2 linked regions of the Macaca fascicularis genome follow. Each later gene encodes a partner of the first gene's protein in a complex. Links are inferred from orthologs where the notes say so. Each region holds a gene or a part of one and is shown on either strand. Other genes may lie near its edges.

Evidence for each region.
Region 2: the proteins of AP2M1 (region 1) and P2RX4 are in contact, whole or in part, in a crystal structure (PDB 2BP5), measured with the Rattus norvegicus proteins. The link is inferred for Macaca fascicularis from reciprocal best matches to the Homo sapiens genes AP2M1 and P2RX4. Residues at the interface, in NP_446289.1 of Rattus norvegicus: Phe174, Leu175, Asp176, Lys203, Asn217, Leu316, Ala317, Gln318, Lys319, Glu391, Val392, Pro393, Lys400, Val401, Arg402, Tyr403, Leu404, Ile419, Lys420, Trp421, Val422, Arg423, Tyr424, Ile425; in NP_113782.2 of Rattus norvegicus: Val375, Glu376, Asp377, Tyr378, Glu379, Gln380, Gly381, Leu382, Ser383, Gly384.

The regions. Positions count from the first base shown.
Region 1 is NC_088376.1:96,100,228-96,103,901, forward strand, and holds the end of AP2M1 (AP-2 complex subunit mu), read left to right. Parts: coding exon 1-47; intron 48-147; coding exon 148-289; intron 290-762; coding exon 763-882; intron 883-978; coding exon 979-1,114; intron 1,115-1,217; coding exon 1,218-1,315; intron 1,316-1,786; coding exon 1,787-1,898; intron 1,899-2,511; coding exon 2,512-2,646; 3' UTR 2,647-3,126; downstream 3,127-3,674.
Region 2 is NC_088385.1:128,289,193-128,293,740, reverse strand, and holds the start of P2RX4 (P2X purinoceptor 4), read right to left. Parts: upstream 3,053-4,548; coding exon 2,919-3,052; intron 1-2,918. UniProt on the Homo sapiens protein: ATP-gated nonselective transmembrane cation channel permeable to potassium, sodium and calcium. CTP, but not GTP or UTP, functions as a weak affinity agonist for P2RX4.

The sequences.
Region 1 (3,674 bases):
CTTCCTGGATGTGCTGGAGAGTGTGAACCTGCTCATGTCCCCACAAGGTGAGGTCCCTCTCACAACAAAGCTGGAGGGGGACCAGGGCAGGATCCTGGGTCTGCCTGCCTGACTCTGCTGCTCCCCATTTATCTGTTCCATCATCAGGGCAGGTGCTGAGTGCCCATGTGTCGGGCCGGGTGGTGATGAAGAGCTACCTGAGTGGCATGCCTGAATGCAAGTTTGGGATGAATGACAAGATTGTTATTGAAAAGCAGGGCAAAGGCACAGCTGATGAAACAAGCAAGAGGTGCCTGAGGCAGGAGAGCTGGTGGGAAAGGGTGTCCCTTGGAGGGCTCGGTGGGGTCTAGTGAACCACAAGTTTCTTCTGGATTTCATTCCCACTGTAATTGCAAACTCTGTTCCTGACGGTAAGCCTGGCTGTTCGCTCTTGACATTGGTGCTAAGAGAGATGAGGGGACTGTCCTCAGAGCAAGCCCCTTTTTTTGGTCCCTAGGACCAAGGCCTCTTCTGTACATACTGATAGCCTCCTCTGCCCAGTGTGCCTGAAACACCCAGGTCCCAAGCAGCAGGGCCCCCAAGAGATGAGTTTACAAGGTTTCCCTCTCATCCCAAGCTCTGGGGCAGACCTCTGAGTCAGAAAGCTGCATTCTAGCAGCTTTTCATAGTCTCTGGTGCCAGCCTGGGGTGGAGTGGTCTCCCAGCGTGACACCTGTCATTCTCCTGTACCAATGAGACCTCCTCTTCTGCCCCTGCTTGCAGTGGGAAGCAATCAATTGCCATTGATGACTGCACCTTCCACCAGTGTGTACGACTCAGCAAGTTTGACTCTGAACGCAGCATCAGCTTTATCCCACCAGATGGAGAGTTTGAGCTTATGAGGTGCCATTGGGGTGTGAAGAGGCAGCCAGTGCTGCTGGCAGATTGGGGAGAGGAAGTGGGTCAGCTCTTTGGTAACCTTGCTTCCCATCCCTTAAGGTATCGCACAACCAAGGACATCATCCTTCCCTTCCGGGTGATCCCGCTAGTGCGAGAAGTGGGACGCACCAAACTGGAGGTCAAGGTGGTCATCAAGTCCAACTTTAAACCCTCACTCCTGGCTCAGAAGATTGAGGTGAGGACAGGGGGCTTGGGGAGGAGGAAGAACTTGTCCCTAGGAATAAAGGCAGCTGATGTCACAGCTTGACAGAGCTCCCTGACAGGTGTGTCACTTCTAGGTGAGGATCCCAACCCCACTGAACACAAGTGGGGTGCAGGTGATCTGCATGAAGGGGAAGGCCAAGTACAAGGCCAGCGAGAATGCCATCGTGTGGAAGTGAGTCTTTCCTTCATTAGGCCACAGCAGGTTCAAGATCCCAGTGTACCCTCTTGTTTTCACCTTTGATCCTTCTGAATGAGGGGTGGGGGAGTGTGCCTCTTTGCTTTTCTAGGAGCCTCTGCTTGTACTGTCAGCCTTTATGCCTCCATGTGAGTATGTACACGCCTGCATTTGGGTTCATGCACGTGCTTATTTTTTAAGATGCTTTGGCATTTCCCTGCTTGCCTTTGTAATGTATCTGTGAAGCTGACAAAGCAAAGATAGCATGCCCAAGTGTCTAGGCAGAAACTGCATCCTGTTGTCCTAAAGAAGTAGACCCAAGCTTCCATAGCAAGTAGTTAGCAGGGTCCTGACCACTTCTTGTTGTGGCACCTCCTGCAAGCTCCTGGGCGTGCTCCTTAAAATGGGCAACTGCCCTTGAAACTTCTCCAAGCTACAATGGGCTGCCTGTTGTCCCTGTGTTCCTAGGATCAAGCGCATGGCAGGCATGAAGGAATCGCAGATCAGCGCAGAGATTGAGCTTCTGCCTACCAACGACAAGAAGAAATGGGCTCGACCCCCCATTTCCATGAACTTTGAGGTATGGCAGAGGAGGGGCCTAGAGTCATGCCAGGGTATGCTGGAAAAGCTCTTAGAGATCATTCCGATAAACCGCTGCACCTTAGAGGTGAGGAAACTGAGGCCTAGAAAGAAGAACTGGCTTTAATTCATAGATCCATTCTTCCCCTTTCAAGCCTCTTAGTAGAAGTTACTATTCATAGTGAGGCAAATCTTTCACTTCTCTTAGCTTGTCCTAACACAGTTCTTTCGAAAAACTTAGATTGTTTAAATGCCAGGTAAGACACAAAGTTTACTTACAGACAGGATAATGGACTGACTTTGCTTTGTGCATGTTAGACATAATTTTCTCCACCTTATTTTTAAGTTCATAATATTGAGCAGGATAAGTATGTTCTAAAGCAGTTCATTGGTTGCTGTCTCCTGCTGATGAAAGGAACTGATTCCGGGTGTCACTGGCAGGGCTTTCTTCTTCAGCCACCTCTTAGAGGGTCCCTCACCACCCCAGCTTCTTTAAGGACCCCAGCCATTCAAACACCTGTAGTAGAGATGAAGTAGAGCAGGGCAACGGGACTTCCCAGAGGAGAGCAGCTGTAAGAGGAAGGCCACATTTCTAACGAGCTGTCCTTGCCCAGGTGCCATTTGCGCCCTCTGGCCTCAAGGTGCGCTACTTGAAGGTATTTGAACCGAAGCTGAACTACAGCGACCATGATGTCATCAAATGGGTGCGCTACATTGGCCGCAGCGGCATTTATGAAACTCGCTGCTAGCTGCCACTAGGCAGCTAGCCCACCTCCCCACCCACCCTCTTCAACAGGTCCAGGTGCCGCTCCCTCTCCCACCACACATCAGTGTCTCCTCCCTCCTGCTTTGCTGCCTTCCCTTTGCACCAGCCCCTGAGTCTAGGTCTGGGCCAAGCACATTGCAAGTGGGACTGGTGGAGTAGCCCCTGGGCTCCCTGGACAGGGAAGTTCTGAGGCTCCTGCTCTCCCCTCCACCTGTCTGTCCTGGCCTAGTGCCAGGCTCTGAGTTCTGTGACCAAAGCCAGGTGGGTTCCCTTTCCTTCCCACGCCTGTGGCCGCACCTCTGGAGTGGGAGGGTCGGTTGCACCCCTCACCTCAGAGCTCTCCCAAAGGCCAGTAACGGATCCCCAGCCCTCAGTCCCTAGTCTGCTTTGGGATAGTGTGAGCTTCATTTTGTACACGTGTGACTTCGTCCAGTTATAAACCCAATAAACTCTGTAGAGTGGAGTTGCTGGCTAAGTGTTGATGTGGGAGCTACGTGGGGAGGGAACTGGTGTTGCTCTCCCCGCAGTTTTCTGTTCTGAATACTCTAAAAGCTCTTTCCTTGTCTTGTCCCAGTTAGGTGTCTCCTGGGCCATCCAAGCCCCTATCCTTGTGGGTTTTGGGCCCAGGTTTTCTGGCTCCTCTAAGAAAGCCTCAAGGGCAAGCAGCCTCAGCAGGCCCCAGTACCCTGGGGGTAGATCTTTCCCTAGCTCTTTTTTATTCCCCCTGGTCCTCGGACTCCTAGGCTCAAGAGATCTTTAGCCTAGGCAGCCTCTGGAGTAGCTGGGATTACAAGCACGCGCCACCACAGCACCCAGCTCTTTCTCTAATTCTTAGGCAGATGTTTTCTAATTAGATTAGGTATAGATTAAGTGAAGTTTACGTTTGGTCTTATAGCCATCCTAAGAAATTGACCTTTTAATTCCATCATTTACCCATGCTTCCCAAATCTTGCTGAGTGGGTGGTAGGAGGAAAGATTTGCAAGCAGAATAATACAATGGACTGGGTGCGG
Region 2 (4,548 bases), on another chromosome or scaffold:
CTCAGGCATGAGCCACTGTGCCCAGCCTCTTTTTGTGAACTTATGTCTTTGAAATCCAGTGTGTATTTTACAGTTATAGCACATCTCAATTTAGAGTAGGGATGGTTAAAGTGTTCAATAGGTACAAGTTACTAGTGGCTACCATACAGTGCAACACCACTATGGATATTTTCCACAGTCGTAATTTTACAGGTACCCTAAGGTAGATGAGCACTGATACTCCCACTGGCAGCAAATGCCAAAAGCAAAAAGCTGCAGGGGAGCTCCTGCCCCCAAATGCTTCAAGTCCAACCAGGGATGTGAGTTCAATTCACTGGCTAGCAGTGGGTCTCAAATATATATATGTGTGTGTATATATACACATATGTGTGTGTGTATATATATAATACGTATACATATATATTTTTGAGATGGAGTTTTGCTCTTGTGGCTCAGGCTGGAGTGCAGTGGCGCAATCTCGGCTCACTGCAACCTCCACCTCCTGGATTCAAGCGATTCTCCTGCCTCAGCCTCCCAAGTAGCTGGGATTACAGGCCTCAGCTAATTTTTTGATTAGGCCCGGCTAATTTTTTGTACTTTTAGTAGAGACGGGGTTTCACCATGTTGGTCAGGCTGGTCTCAAACTCCTGACCTCACCTGCCTCGGCCTCCTAAAATGCTGGGATTATAGGCATGAGCCACTGCGCTCGGCCAAAAAAAAAAAATTTTTTTTTTTGTTTTACACAACTCCATCAGTAAAATTTACCATTTTAACCTTTATTTTTCTTTTGGAGATGGAGTGTTGTCCAGGCTGGTCTTGAGCTCCTGGCCTCAAGCAATCCTCCCATCTTGGCCTTCCAAAGCACTGGGACTACAGGTGGGAGCCAATGAGTCCAAATCTGGGTGTGGGCCAGGTGGTTCTGATGTTGAGTCTGCACCTGGAAAGCCATCCTCTTGAATACTGTCTGTACCTACTGCTGCTGCTGACAGATATTGGAAGCCAAACCTGCTCCGTCATGGGAATTCCCTTGGGCAGTGTTAAGATTCCAAACCTCACCCCAAAGAGGGGGATTTGTTGCTTTTAAACAATTCCGCACATGAGTCTTCCACGATCAGGTAAACTTGGGAAACACAGTTCATTGGTTCCCAAACGTTGCTGAACATCAGAATCACCTGGGCACCTGATCATACTCTACAGCAATTAAATCAGAAGGTCTGGGTAGGCGTCGGGGCGCGGTGGCTCATGCCTGTAATCCCAGCACTCTGGGAGGCGGAGGCGGGTGGATCACCTGAGGTCAGGAGTTCGAGAACAGCCTGGACAACATGGCAAAACCCCATCTCTACTAAAAATACAAAAATTAGCCGGGCATGGTGGTGGGCGCCTGTAAATCCTAGCTACTCGGGAGGCTGAAGCAGGAGAATCGCTTGAACCGGGGAGGTGGAGGTTGCAGTGAGTCTAGATTGCACCACTGCACTCCAGCGTGGGCGACAGAGGGAGACTCCATCTTTAAAAAAAAAAAAAAAAGGGTCTGGGGACGGGAGCCAAGGATTCTCAGATGGTTCCAATGTGCAGTTTGGGGACCACTGCACTAGGCAATACGTGTCAGCCCAGCAGCTGTAGACACAAGAACACCCCAGGTAAGCCTTTAAAGTGGCCCCAGGTGGCAAGGAATTCTCATCTTCTCTCTTGGATTGTATTCAATAGTAACAGGTGCCAGCTGGGCGCGGGGCTCACACCTCTAATCCCAGCACTTTGGGAGGCTGAGGTGGGCGGATCACCTGAGGTCAGTTCAGGACCAGCCTGGCTAACATGGTGAAACCCCGTCTCTACTAAAAAATACAAAAATTGGCCGGGCGTGGTGGCGGGCACCAGTAATCCCTGCCACTCGGGAGACTGAGACAGAATTGCTTGAACCCGGGAGGCGGAGGTTGCAGTGAGCCGAGATCGTGTCATTGCACTTCAGCCCGGGCGACGAGAGAAACTCCGTCTCAAAAAACAAAACAAAACAAAAAAACCAAAAAAAACAAACAGGTGCCTTCAAGTACAATGGCACATTCAGCCAGGCCTGAGGGCGGCAGGGCATCTCTAGCCTAAGGGCGCAGCATGGGGAATGAATGACTAGGCCAGGGCAGGTACCATAAAAGCCCCACAATCCCACAAAACAAAGGAAGCAAACTTTAACTACTCTTGAAGTCTGACCTCGCTACTACCACATAGTGATACTGCCTAGTGATCAAAAGAAATGACCAGAAGCCACCGACCCAGAAGGAACCAAGCGGAAATTCCAAGCTTTGGTTTTGTCGGCAAATCAGCAGGATGGGAAGTGGAGAGCGAAGATTGAGACGTTCAGGGCGAAGCCCCTACAGCCAAGGGGCACTCTGGGGGGTCAGACAGGAGAGAGTAACGGCCTAGCCAGGCTTTGCCTTTATTTATTTTGTAAAGAGCAGGGTCTCGGACTGTCTCCCAGGCTCGAGTTAAGTGGTGTGATCATAGCTCACTGCAGCCTCAGCCTCTTGGGCTCAAGCGATCCTCCCACCTCAGTCTCCTGAGTAGCTGGGACCCCAGGCGCGCGCCACCAGGCCCGGCGGATTTTTAGTTTTTTGCAGAGACGGGGTCCCACGATGCTGCCCAAACTGGTTTCGAACTCCTGGGCTCAGGCGATAGTCCCGCCTCGGGCTCCCAAAGTGCTGGGATTACAGGCGTGCGCCACCGCGCCCGGCCCTGGCTATGGCTTTGAAACAGCAGCAAGCAGCCTCCCGCCCCCGGGGCCCGGCGCGGCGGCTGGGGCCCAGGGAAGGTGTCACCGCCTTGGCTCGCCGCCCCCGCACTCGCCCAGGTGACCGAAGCCGGGATGAGCCGCCGCACGGGGCGGACCCGAGGGTAGCCCCCGCCGCGTCCCCCGCGGCGCCCCCCGCCCGGCCCCGCGCGGCCGCGCTCACCCGATGACGTAGGCCAGGATGAGCAGCTGCACGGCGCGGTTCATGAGCCCCACTTTGCGGCTGCGGATGAGCACGATGCGCGGCGTGTCGTACTCGAACAGGAAGGCCGCCAGCGCGGCGCAGCAGCCCGCCATGGCCACACCGCCTGCTCCCCGTCCCCGAGCCCGTCTGGGTCCCAGTCCCCGCTCGGAGCCCCGCCCAGTCCGCCCGGCCTGCCAGCAGCGCCGTCATCATGGGGAGGGCCCGGAAGGAGGCGGCACCGGGCGGTCGGGGCCCGGGGCCTAGGGGAGGGCGCCACCTCCCCGTCTGGAACTGTGACCCTCTAGGGGGCATGGAACTCGCGGGGAGGGGGTGGCCTTGCCCTTGGCCTTGAGGACGAAAGGCTCCTTCAAAAGGCTGGCGAGGGGCCGGGCGCGGTGGCTCACACCTGTCATCCCAGCAGTTTCGGAGGCCGAGGTGAGAGGATCCTTTGAGTTAGAGACCAGCCTGGACAACATAGCGAGACCTCGTCTCTATCAAACAAACAAACAACAAAACAAACAAAACACAAAAGCAAAGAAGCCGGGCGTAGTGGCGCTCGCCTGTGGTCCCAGGTACTCGGGAGGCTGAGGTGAGAGGATCGCTTGATCCCGGGAGGTCGAGGCTGCCGTGAGCTGTGATGGCGCCACTGCACCCCAGTCTGTGAGATGAAGCGAGACCCTGCCTCAAAAAACCAGGAACCAAAAAACATCAAAAAAGGCGAGTTGGGGAGTGATGACCTTCGCAGGAGGGCCAGGGAGAACAAGAGACCCTTTCGGGGAAGATGGGGGCCGCTTCTCATTTGGGACCGAGTTCGAGTGAGGGGTAACAAGCGACCTCCCTTAGGGGTCCAGATAGGTGCCAGGGACTTCCGTAGAGGACCTGGGGGCTGTGCGGAGCAGCCATCGTTCACCAGTGCAGGCTCCTACACTGGGGGAGCTGGGGCCGCACTGTGCTCAGCCTCTTGGGGAACGGCCTAAGTATCAGGTGTCCTGTGAGCCCTGGGTGAGAGCCACACGCCCTGTAAAATGCCCCTCCTGGATTTGAAGCCTGGCCGCATTCTCACTCCAATTCAGATACTTCCTTAGTTGCAGCCCAGGGGAGATTATTCTGTGGTCATCCTTTCCACTGAGAAAACGCTATCACAACTTTAGGGGAGAATTGAGAAATAGCAAAAGTGGGGAAAACAGCCAGCGTTCTACCCCATGAATACAGTTTTCCGTATGTATATTTGTTCATTCCCTTCAGATATGCTTTCCTTTTCTTTCTTTCTTTTTTTTTTTTTTTGGAGACCGAGTTTTACTCTTGTCCAGGCTGGAGTTCAGTAGCACCATCTCGGCTCACTGCAACCTCCACCTCCCAGGTTCAAGCAATTCTCTTGCCTCAGCCTCTTGAGTAGCTGGGATTACAAGCGCCCGCCACCACACCCAGCTAATTTTTGTATTTTCAGTAGAGACAGGTTTTCACCATGTTGGCCAGGCTGGTCTCCAGCTCCTGACCTCCCATGATCTGCCCTCCTCGGGCTTGGGATTACAGGCATGAGCCACTGCGCCTGGCCCAGATATGTTTTCATAGATGAATGTTATATTTAGTTTCCCTAATGCATTCAGAA